2 linked regions of the Coturnix japonica genome follow. The protein of the gene in region 2 interacts with the protein of the main gene of each other region in a pairwise test. Links are inferred from orthologs where the notes say so. Each region holds a gene or a part of one and is shown on either strand. Other genes may lie near its edges.

What was found. The genes of interacting proteins can lie anywhere in the genome.
Region 1: the proteins of ATXN3 (region 2) and ARHGAP19 interact in binary tests that used the Homo sapiens proteins (3 or more experiments, as listed by UniProt). The link is inferred for Coturnix japonica from reciprocal best matches to the Homo sapiens genes ATXN3 and ARHGAP19.

What each region holds. Positions count from the first base shown.
Region 1 is NC_029521.1:19,516,511-19,520,957, reverse strand, and holds the start of ARHGAP19 (rho GTPase-activating protein 19), read right to left. Parts: upstream 2,848-4,447; 5' UTR 2,829-2,847; coding exon 2,758-2,828; intron 1-2,757. Other genes in the region: RRP12 (RRP12-like protein), read right to left, coding at 3,931-4,033, 4,244-4,326. UniProt on the Homo sapiens protein: GTPase activator for the Rho-type GTPases by converting them to an inactive GDP-bound state.
Region 2 is NC_029520.1:40,426,210-40,430,464, forward strand, and holds the start of ATXN3 (ataxin-3), read right to left. Parts: upstream 3,039-4,255; 5' UTR 2,951-3,038; coding exon 2,927-2,950; intron 2,792-2,926; exon of another isoform or gene 2,771-2,791; intron 1,184-2,770; coding exon 1,019-1,183; intron 469-1,018; coding exon 424-468; intron 1-423. Other genes in the region: NDUFB1 (NADH dehydrogenase [ubiquinone] 1 beta subcomplex subunit 1), read right to left, coding at 3,534-3,570. UniProt on the Homo sapiens protein: Deubiquitinating enzyme involved in protein homeostasis maintenance, transcription, cytoskeleton regulation, myogenesis and degradation of misfolded chaperone substrates.

The DNA of each region.
Region 1 (4,447 bases), on a different chromosome or scaffold from region 2:
GGAGAAAGAAGGATGAGGCACCTCTGGGGCAAGAAACGAGCTGTGTTTTTCTAGCTGGGAAAGTGGAAGAGCTGGAGCTGCATCTCATCCAGCGGGCAGAATGCAGCCCAGCATCACTTTGTGCACTTGGGATGTTGTTGCAGCAAAGCTAATGCCTCAGTCACACTGCAGCAGGCGAGTCTTACCAGGCAGGAGAAAAAGGATTAAAGAGCTTTTGAAAATAAGGCAGATAATGGAAGAAAATCTCCCCATATAATAACAAAATCTTTCGACTGAGGAACAGCCAGGCAAGCAGCGAGCACTGAGCGCAGAGCGATAAGCAGACACTGCTGGGGAACACAAAACACGGGGATTCTGTGCCTGGCTAAGCACAAAGGGAGATGGAATGGATGCACCCGGGCTCACGTTTCCTTGGGGAGAGAGAAGGAGCATCGTCCCTGTGCTGTGCCAGAGCAAGGAATCAATTAATGAGGGCGTCTGAAGGCAGTATTCCAGAGCCAGATAGGAGCCATCCCACGTTTCGCTAAGAGATGAAAGGACCAGAGCGGAATGATGTGAAATCATTTTAAGTACAAAAGGACTAGGAGACAAATTATTTCCTCCATTAAAAATAGATAAATAAAATTAAAAGAACTCTGGTGGGAATGGGCTGCAGAGACACGAGAAGTGACTTCACTTTTAAGGTTGTTTTGAGGACTGTACTTGGGACCAACATTCTTGTAAGGCGGCGTCACAAAGATCACATTCAGCCCTCAGATTTAGCACAGTAACTCCCTATAGGGTGACTGATTTGCCTCTGAAAAATGTCAAGAAAAACACGCAGCGATTTTTGCCGAGGGTTATACTCATGAGGTCTGTAAGGGCAAAGAGAGTCCTTTTGTGATGAGCACAGAACGCATAGCACAGTGAGTGCCAAGCCTTGACCACTGTTTCTAGGCTTCATCCTAGTGAGCCGTAATAAAAACTGCCTTTTTTAATTGTTGCTTTGCTTTCTTCGCAACTAAACAGATGACATGGAGTGATTCAGCCTTTTGGCTATGGGAATCAGATAATAATATACAATTTAAACAGCAGGGAACTGAGGAACAAAGCTGCTATTATGTGATAGCAGCCTGTGCTGGACAACCTGGAACTAATGCAGCACTCGGCCATCTTTTGGGCATTGAATACACTGGATATCCAAATTCCTGCTATCATCTATGAATTCAGATCCTGTCTCAGCAAAAGACTCGAGCAGACCTCAGCCACATGAGCCTCACAAGTGTGATGTAAACCCAGAGACAGACCTATCCAGGATGATAAAGGGCTGCAAGAGGGGGAAAGTGGGCTTGGAACAAACTGAATATGGAAAACATTACTGGTGGCGAGCCAGACCGCAGCAGCAAGGCAGCATGATATACATGAAACACTGAGAACTTTGCATTTCAACGTGAAATGTTTCAGCTTAGACCCCAGAGAATCCTTTTATGGAGCTTTTCATAAGATCCACTGGAAAGCTGTAAAGTCAACACAGCCACGTTTCAATCAGCCTGCAGCACATCACAGCACCCAGTCGCCTTCTGGTGCTAAGGGAGGCAGACTGAAAGGCACCTTGGGGCTACAGACTCACTGCAGAGCTGCTGAATGAGCCCCATCCTACATCTTCACTGCTGTTCAGGCTGATCCTGTGCCATGGGATAGCTCCAGATCCCGTCTGACACTCTGCAAGCACACAGGAACAGCCAGAAACCCTCTACTTCTGCATTAAGGATTTGCAGGTTCATCCATCTGCCTTAACAACCTAAATAAATAATGCTGCTGCAGCCTTCATGATTTTCAGTGCAACATAAAGTTGGTAAATGTATTTATTTTAACGTAAGCCTTTATACAAAGCGGCTGTAAAGGAGCTGCCTCAGATCCAGTCGTAATTTCACAGAAACCAGCAGCAAAATGGAACCTTTTAGATGGCAGCAGCTGCCTCTCCTCATTACTGCTCTATTCACTTTTATCCCTGTGGCACTGGGAACCTCAGTCACAGCTGGGGACTCCGCCGTGCTCCGTGCCGTACAAACACAGAACAAAGGCAATCCCCTGCCTTCAGAGGGCTGCGAGATAATGCTGGAGGGACAGAAAAAGAGGAGGAATCCCAAGAGGGGAGGCAGCGCTATCAGTCAGCGTGACTGATAGAACTGAAACTTGCCAGCTTTTCTGGGGACGCTGTTAAAAAGGAGGGCGAGGAAGGACGGGGAAAACAATCAGGACAGAGGAGAGAACACACAGCTCACGTGCAGGGCTGGTGCGGGGCTGTGCACAGAGCGGGACCGGGACGGCAGCACGGGGCTGCGGGGAGGAGCCGGCGGGGAGGGCTGGGCCGGCTCAGCAGCTCCTGCCTCCGCACCGTGCCCGGTAGGAGCGCTGCTCTGCGCTGCTCTGCCCGGTTCGAGCGTTACCGGCCGAACGCAAACGCGTTCAGTCCTGCTATGCCGTGCAGCGGGGCCGCTGTACAGCAGCGTACCGCACGTTTTGCTATCGGCAGCTCGGGGGAAAACGCTTGCGAAGAAGCTGGTTGTAATTACAGCCGCTTCACCGCCCGAAACGGAGCGATGCGGCAAAGCACGCCGAGGGCGGCCCGCAATGCGGCACTGCGGGATGGGATGGGATGGGCTCCACGCCGCCGCTCGGCTCCGCTCAGACCCGGACACACCGACCGACCCCGGACACACACACACACACACACACCGCCCCCCGGTGACACACCGCCCCCCGCCCCGCTCCTACCTGCCGCCCCGCCGCACCCCGGCTGCCGGCGCTCCCGCCGCCATCTCATACCTGCCGCCCCGCCTCCCCATTGGCCCACCGCGCCACCCCGCGGTCCCGCCCCTCCCGACCTGCCCGTCGCTATTGGCTGGAGGCGTTACGGCCTCGCTACCATTGGTCGGTTCGAACGGACCGCAGGAGATGAAGGGCAGCGGGCACACATGGCTCCTGCTGGCGGTGTATAGAGCCGAGCGCTGCTGGAGCTGCCTGTCCTGACACAAGGCTGACAGCTGCCTTATGGCTGCACCGGGGCACGGCACAGCCTCAAGGGGCACACAGTGACCCCTTAGGGAGAGCAGGATACGGGCAGATCCCCAGCCAAGTGCAACGGCTCCTCCTCAGCCCCGAGCTTTTAAAGGGATCTTGGAAATAAATGACCAAAGAAAAAGAAGCAGAGAACCACAAAGTGGATTTGCAGCCTGCAGTAAGAGGCTGAACAAGCACAATCCCTTTAGCTTATTAGGAGACTGAAAAGCGTTGCAGTTCCAGCATGTAAGCTACCGTGATATGAAATGACAAAGGACTAAAGGCTTTTTAATACAAAAGAGGAAGGAAGATACGTTCACAAACACATACTCTGTACTGTGAGCCATGGGACATTGGACTCAGAGCAGAAACAGCTGCTCATCCAACCTGGGCAGCTATAGATCCAGGATTACTTGTGCTTCTGGGAGGTGGTCACAGCAAAGGCTCCATCTCAGCTCTCGCAGGTAAGAGAAAAGCCCTTGCAAGGCATGACTGAGATGGGCAAAGCAGATGCAGAGCCAGTGAGAGCCACAGGACAGGCACCACAGAAGGCTCCTACTCCATCCCCTCCATCCCAGGACCTGCTGCACTGCAGGGGACACGCTGTGTGAGGTGCTTGCAGGAAAGAAAGGAGGATTCCAGGCTGGATATTAACAGGAGATGTTTGTCACACGTTTATTCTCACACACACACACACACACCTGTAGCAGTCACCCCATCGCCTTCCTTTAGGCACAGGAGGACAGGGCTTGGGCCAGGAGTCCACAGGGGTCGCTTCCTCAGGAGGCTGCACTCACAAAGTCCCTGTCCTCCAGAGCCTGAATGCCTCAGGTTATCACCAGTCCTGTCCTCAGGCAGGTGGATGCACAGAGCACCACCCACAGCTCCTCAAGGGCGACGCTCCTTCATCCGGTTCTTGCGGCCAGCCTTGGCCCCTCGCTGGGCACCCTTCATGAGGCCCTTGAACTGGCCCTGCATTTTTGCCTGCTTCCTGGAGGGAGGAAGGAGCAGGGAGACAGATTAACATGGGTACAAGGCACAGACAGCCCCTGGCACAGGCCTGTGCAATGTGGCTGCAAGGAGCAGCACAGAGGCTGGCAGGGAGCCCCCTCAGACCACAAGAAATGGTAACAACAATGTGCAGGACCAGACCCAGGATATCCCCCCCTCCCTATACCATGCCCTTCCTGCTCAGTCCCACCTTTTGTTGAGTTTAGCTCTGTTCAGGGGGATGTAGGCATAGGGGTCGAGCTGGCCCTTCTTCTTCACATCACCTTTCCCTTTCTGTAGGAGATACCAAGATGAAGCATAAAGGGAGATGTGAGTGTCCCATTCTGGACAGCCCTGGTACAGTCACACCAAGGACTATGCTGCAGTGGGGTGCCAGCTGAGCACGTGGCTCCCA
Region 2 (4,255 bases):
CAATAATTCTGTAACCTCTGCCAAAGACTTCACAGTCTATAATTTGAGAAGACAATCTCGAGTCTCTTTTTTTCACCTGTATCCCATAAAAAGCGATTTGGAAAGCAAGCTTATTGCTAGCAGGTATGAGGGAGTCTATGCTTTGACTCTTTATTTAAAGACCCATAAACTGAATTATAGAACTGCTCAGGTTGGAAATGACCTTCAAGATCATCAAGTCCAACTGCAACCAAGCCATACTACCCTAAAGAACAAACACAAGTCACCACTGCTCTTAATGTAATTCAAGATTCAAGTCTAACCATTAATGTCATTAAGCCTATAAAACAGAAACTAGATAATAGGTCAATGTCATTTAAATTGTATGACAACACATACATTCCATAAAGAAGAAAAAAATTGCCAGTCTAGGGCACATCTTACTTGAATTGAGAAGAATCCACTGTCATCCATGTTTACAGAAGGCTGCTGCTCAGCATATGAGGTTGGAGGAAGGAAAGTTAAAAGTTGTGTCAGCATAAAAGTTCAGAAAGAATTTCACTTAAAAATAATAATAATAATAATATGACTGTACATACATAAAACAACAATGAAATATATTTTACTCTGTATGCTGATTACAACACCAACATTTGCATTTTTGTTAATAACTCAAACTTTTAAGCTGCAAATACTTACTGCTTAAAGGACAGACATGTACAGGGAATTCTGTTACCGTCTCTACCCCTGGCTTACTAAAACAAACAGTCAATCTCTTAGTCTTCTCCTTGCCATGCCTAACCATCTTACCCTTAAGATGAGGAGATAAGGTAACACGGCCCCCTGTAGAAGCACTATAAAGCTGTACAAATAACACTAAAAACCTCAAACCTGAAATGCCTGAATGAAAATATCAGCAAACTTCCAAAACATCAGCACTAGAAAATGAATCTTCTGTAATTATGCAGGCATAGCAGGCCTTTGCTATACAATATTAGATTTTAAGAAGACATCATGCAACGTCAAGTTAAGATTTTACCTGTAAAAATGTTCTATATTCTTCGCTAGACACTCCTCCCTCTGCCATTCTCATTCTTTCTTCCTCATCCAACTGCTGTGCAATGGAGGATAGCTCAACCGGACTGAAGTACTCTCCTTGTAGCAAATTATTCAGACAGTGTTGAGCACATAATGAGCCTTCTTGCTAATATTAGGAAAGGAAAAAAACACCACTATGTCAAAAGCAATAACATATAGATGTTAATGACGCACTCTGCAGAAACATTCAATGATTTCATTCCAGCCCCCACTTCCCAGAATACTGTATTTTTTTCCATTTTTATTACAGTGTGAGCTGTAGAATACATTCCTATGTTCCATTAATCTGACGATGGAAAAGAAAACAAACATATTTCCTGGAAGAAAATAAATTCTAAGTGAAAATGTTTTGGGAAACAGGGTAAAAATCACCTACAGTTTGTCCAAGTCACACAAGTACTTTGCAACCATCAGGAGAATCGATTCCGCTCCCTTCAAATCATCACTGTATGAAATAAGAAACTCATTCTTTTCTTTTTTAAATCTCTAATTCCCATTAACAAATATTCTCCACAAGGGACACTCTTTTTCTTTGTTAAACTTGTGTTCCCTATGAGGTTTGGGAAATATCTGCTTTCCACATGTGGCTAAAGAAAAACAGAGCATTGAGACTTTGCAAAAAGAGGAATTACAGTTTCCCATGAAAAACAATCCCTCTCTAAAAAATAACAGGCGAGTTAGTTAACCTACGAGTGCAAGACAAGTTTAACATCAGCTATAAAAAGCAGCTTTCCTCTTTGCATCAATGCTTGTTTATATTAACATTAAGAATGTGCATTAGGACAAAGGTGTTGGAAACAAAACAAAATTGTCAAAGAATTAAAACTCCACAGAAAGTAAAGAATACAAGAGTGTGCCTTGTAAGAATGTTATTTAAATGTCCACTCTTCCATCATACAAGTCAGGTGCACAAATCTCCCTTGGTCTCCCTCACAGCAGGATCCCTGAAACTTTATAGATTACAATCCCTTCTGAAGGTACCACCACTCAACTGAATATTGAGTTCAAGCTGGACAGGCTGTACAGCCTAAGTACAATGGAATTCAAAAGTCTCATCTTTCACAGCTTCTCCAGCTTGTGTTTATCCCACAAAAAGAAACTCCAGACTAAACAGCAACTCCTGCCCTGCTGGAAGCACGTTCCTGCTGCTGGCCCCATGACACAGCTGAGACCTGCCAATGGTCACAGATTGTTTCCACCAGAAGCATATGAAATAATTAGGAACAAATCAAGCCTGGGATAACTTTGTTAAAATGAGTCATGTTACAAGTTTAGGCTCTAATTTCTTTGAAAGGGCCCTTCTGTACTGATGTAATAACTTATTAAAAGCAACAACAAAAACCCACTGAACTGTACAGCTAACTCTATTTATTTGTTAACTAAACCAACTACTACGCATAAGAACAACGGACAGAAACCAGTATCACCTAAACAGATCCCACAAAACAATACAAAAATATCAGCAAAGCTGCAGAGTGACCGGCAAAGCAGATAAAGGGCACTGTAGTGTAACAACAGAGGTCGCAGGCAGCTGCTACGTGTGAGCCCTGACACAGCACAGCAGTTTCCAGAAGCATTTGTTCTCCCAACAGGAAGCTCAGCTCAGCTCAGCACTCGATGCCGTCCCTCACAGCGCCGCACACCCACAGCGGGCAGATTTGGTGTCCGAGCTCACGGAACCCGCCCCACGTACCGCTGCTCGCCTTCCTGCTCGGCCACAGACGAGAAGCAGCCCCGCCGGAGATGGGGCAGGGGAACAGGGCAGCCCCAGAGCAGCGCAAGGCCGGGAGATACAACTGCCGCCTCCCCAGAGCGCAGCCCCGCTCCCGCCCCACAACACCTCACTCACCCGCTCGTGGAAGATCGACTCCATGTTTATTATCAACGGCACGGCCTCCGCCTCACATGACCCGCGCAGCCAATCGCGGCTCGCCTCGCCGTGCCGCAGCAGCGCCCCCTGGCGGCGGGAGGTCCGGGCAGCTCGGCAGCACGACGCGCTTGCGCAGTTCTGGAGCAGCCGGAAACGTGCGGTCCTTCCTTCCGTGTGGCGGTGAGTTAATAAAGCGCCATGTGTGAGGTACCGCCTCGGTTAGCTCATAAACCACCTATAAACGCATTAATTCCACACCACACAGACTAAGAAAAAAGGAAATTATTTTTGCATAGTTTTTTTTTTTTTTTCTTTATTACATGACGTCTTTTCTCCCCCAACTCCAGAGCGGAACCTCTGGGGGCAGATATTTCTCAATTCCATGGGCTTCACAGAATCAAAACAGCTTTATAATAGATCACCTTCCATAAAGTAACAATAGGAATTAAAGTAGCAGTGACAAACTGTAGGTGTTCTATTCTGTAGCTTGGTAGGGTCTCAGGAGAAAAAACATAACCATATTGTTTCAATGCATGAGATCAGGTGATGAACAGAGCAGAAAGTTTCCCCCATTCATTAGCAGCCTTTATTTCCAGGTCTTTTCTTCGCCGGGTCTCAGCTCCCTGTGTGGAAAGAAAACAAAGGGTGGAGGCTAAAATTAGGATAAATGGTGTGGGATAATTAACAAGCATTTAAAATGATTCTAGAATCACAGAATCACACAGAATCACAGGATGACCCGGGTTGGAAGGGACCTCAAGGATCATGTAGTTCCAACCCCCCTGCCTGGCAGGGCCACCAAACATACACATTTACTAGATCAGGTTGCCCAGGGCCCCATCCAACCTGGTCTTGAACACCTCCAAGGACGGGGCATCCACAACCTCCCTGGGCAGCCTGTTCCAGGGCCTAACCACTCTCCTAGTGAAGAACTTCCCCCTAACATCCAACCTAAATCTTCCCTCTTTTAACTTAAAACCATTTCCCCATGTCCTGCTATTATCAGCCTTTTCGAAGAGTTTACTCCCCTCCTGGGAGTAAGTTCCCTTCAGGTACTGAAAGGCTGCAATGAGGTCACCCCGCAACCTTCTCTTCTCCAGGCTGAACAAACCCAACTCCCTCAGCCTGTCCTCATAGGGGAGGTGCTTCAGCCCCCGCCCTCCTAAACTTTTACTTTACGACCCAAAGCTTCAAAGGATTGAGTCCTACCATTAATTATAAATAAACCTCTGCTGAGTTAACAGATGGTGTTTCTTACATGAGACCCCAAAGGCAAAAATCTAACTCCTTCCAATCCAAAAATCCATT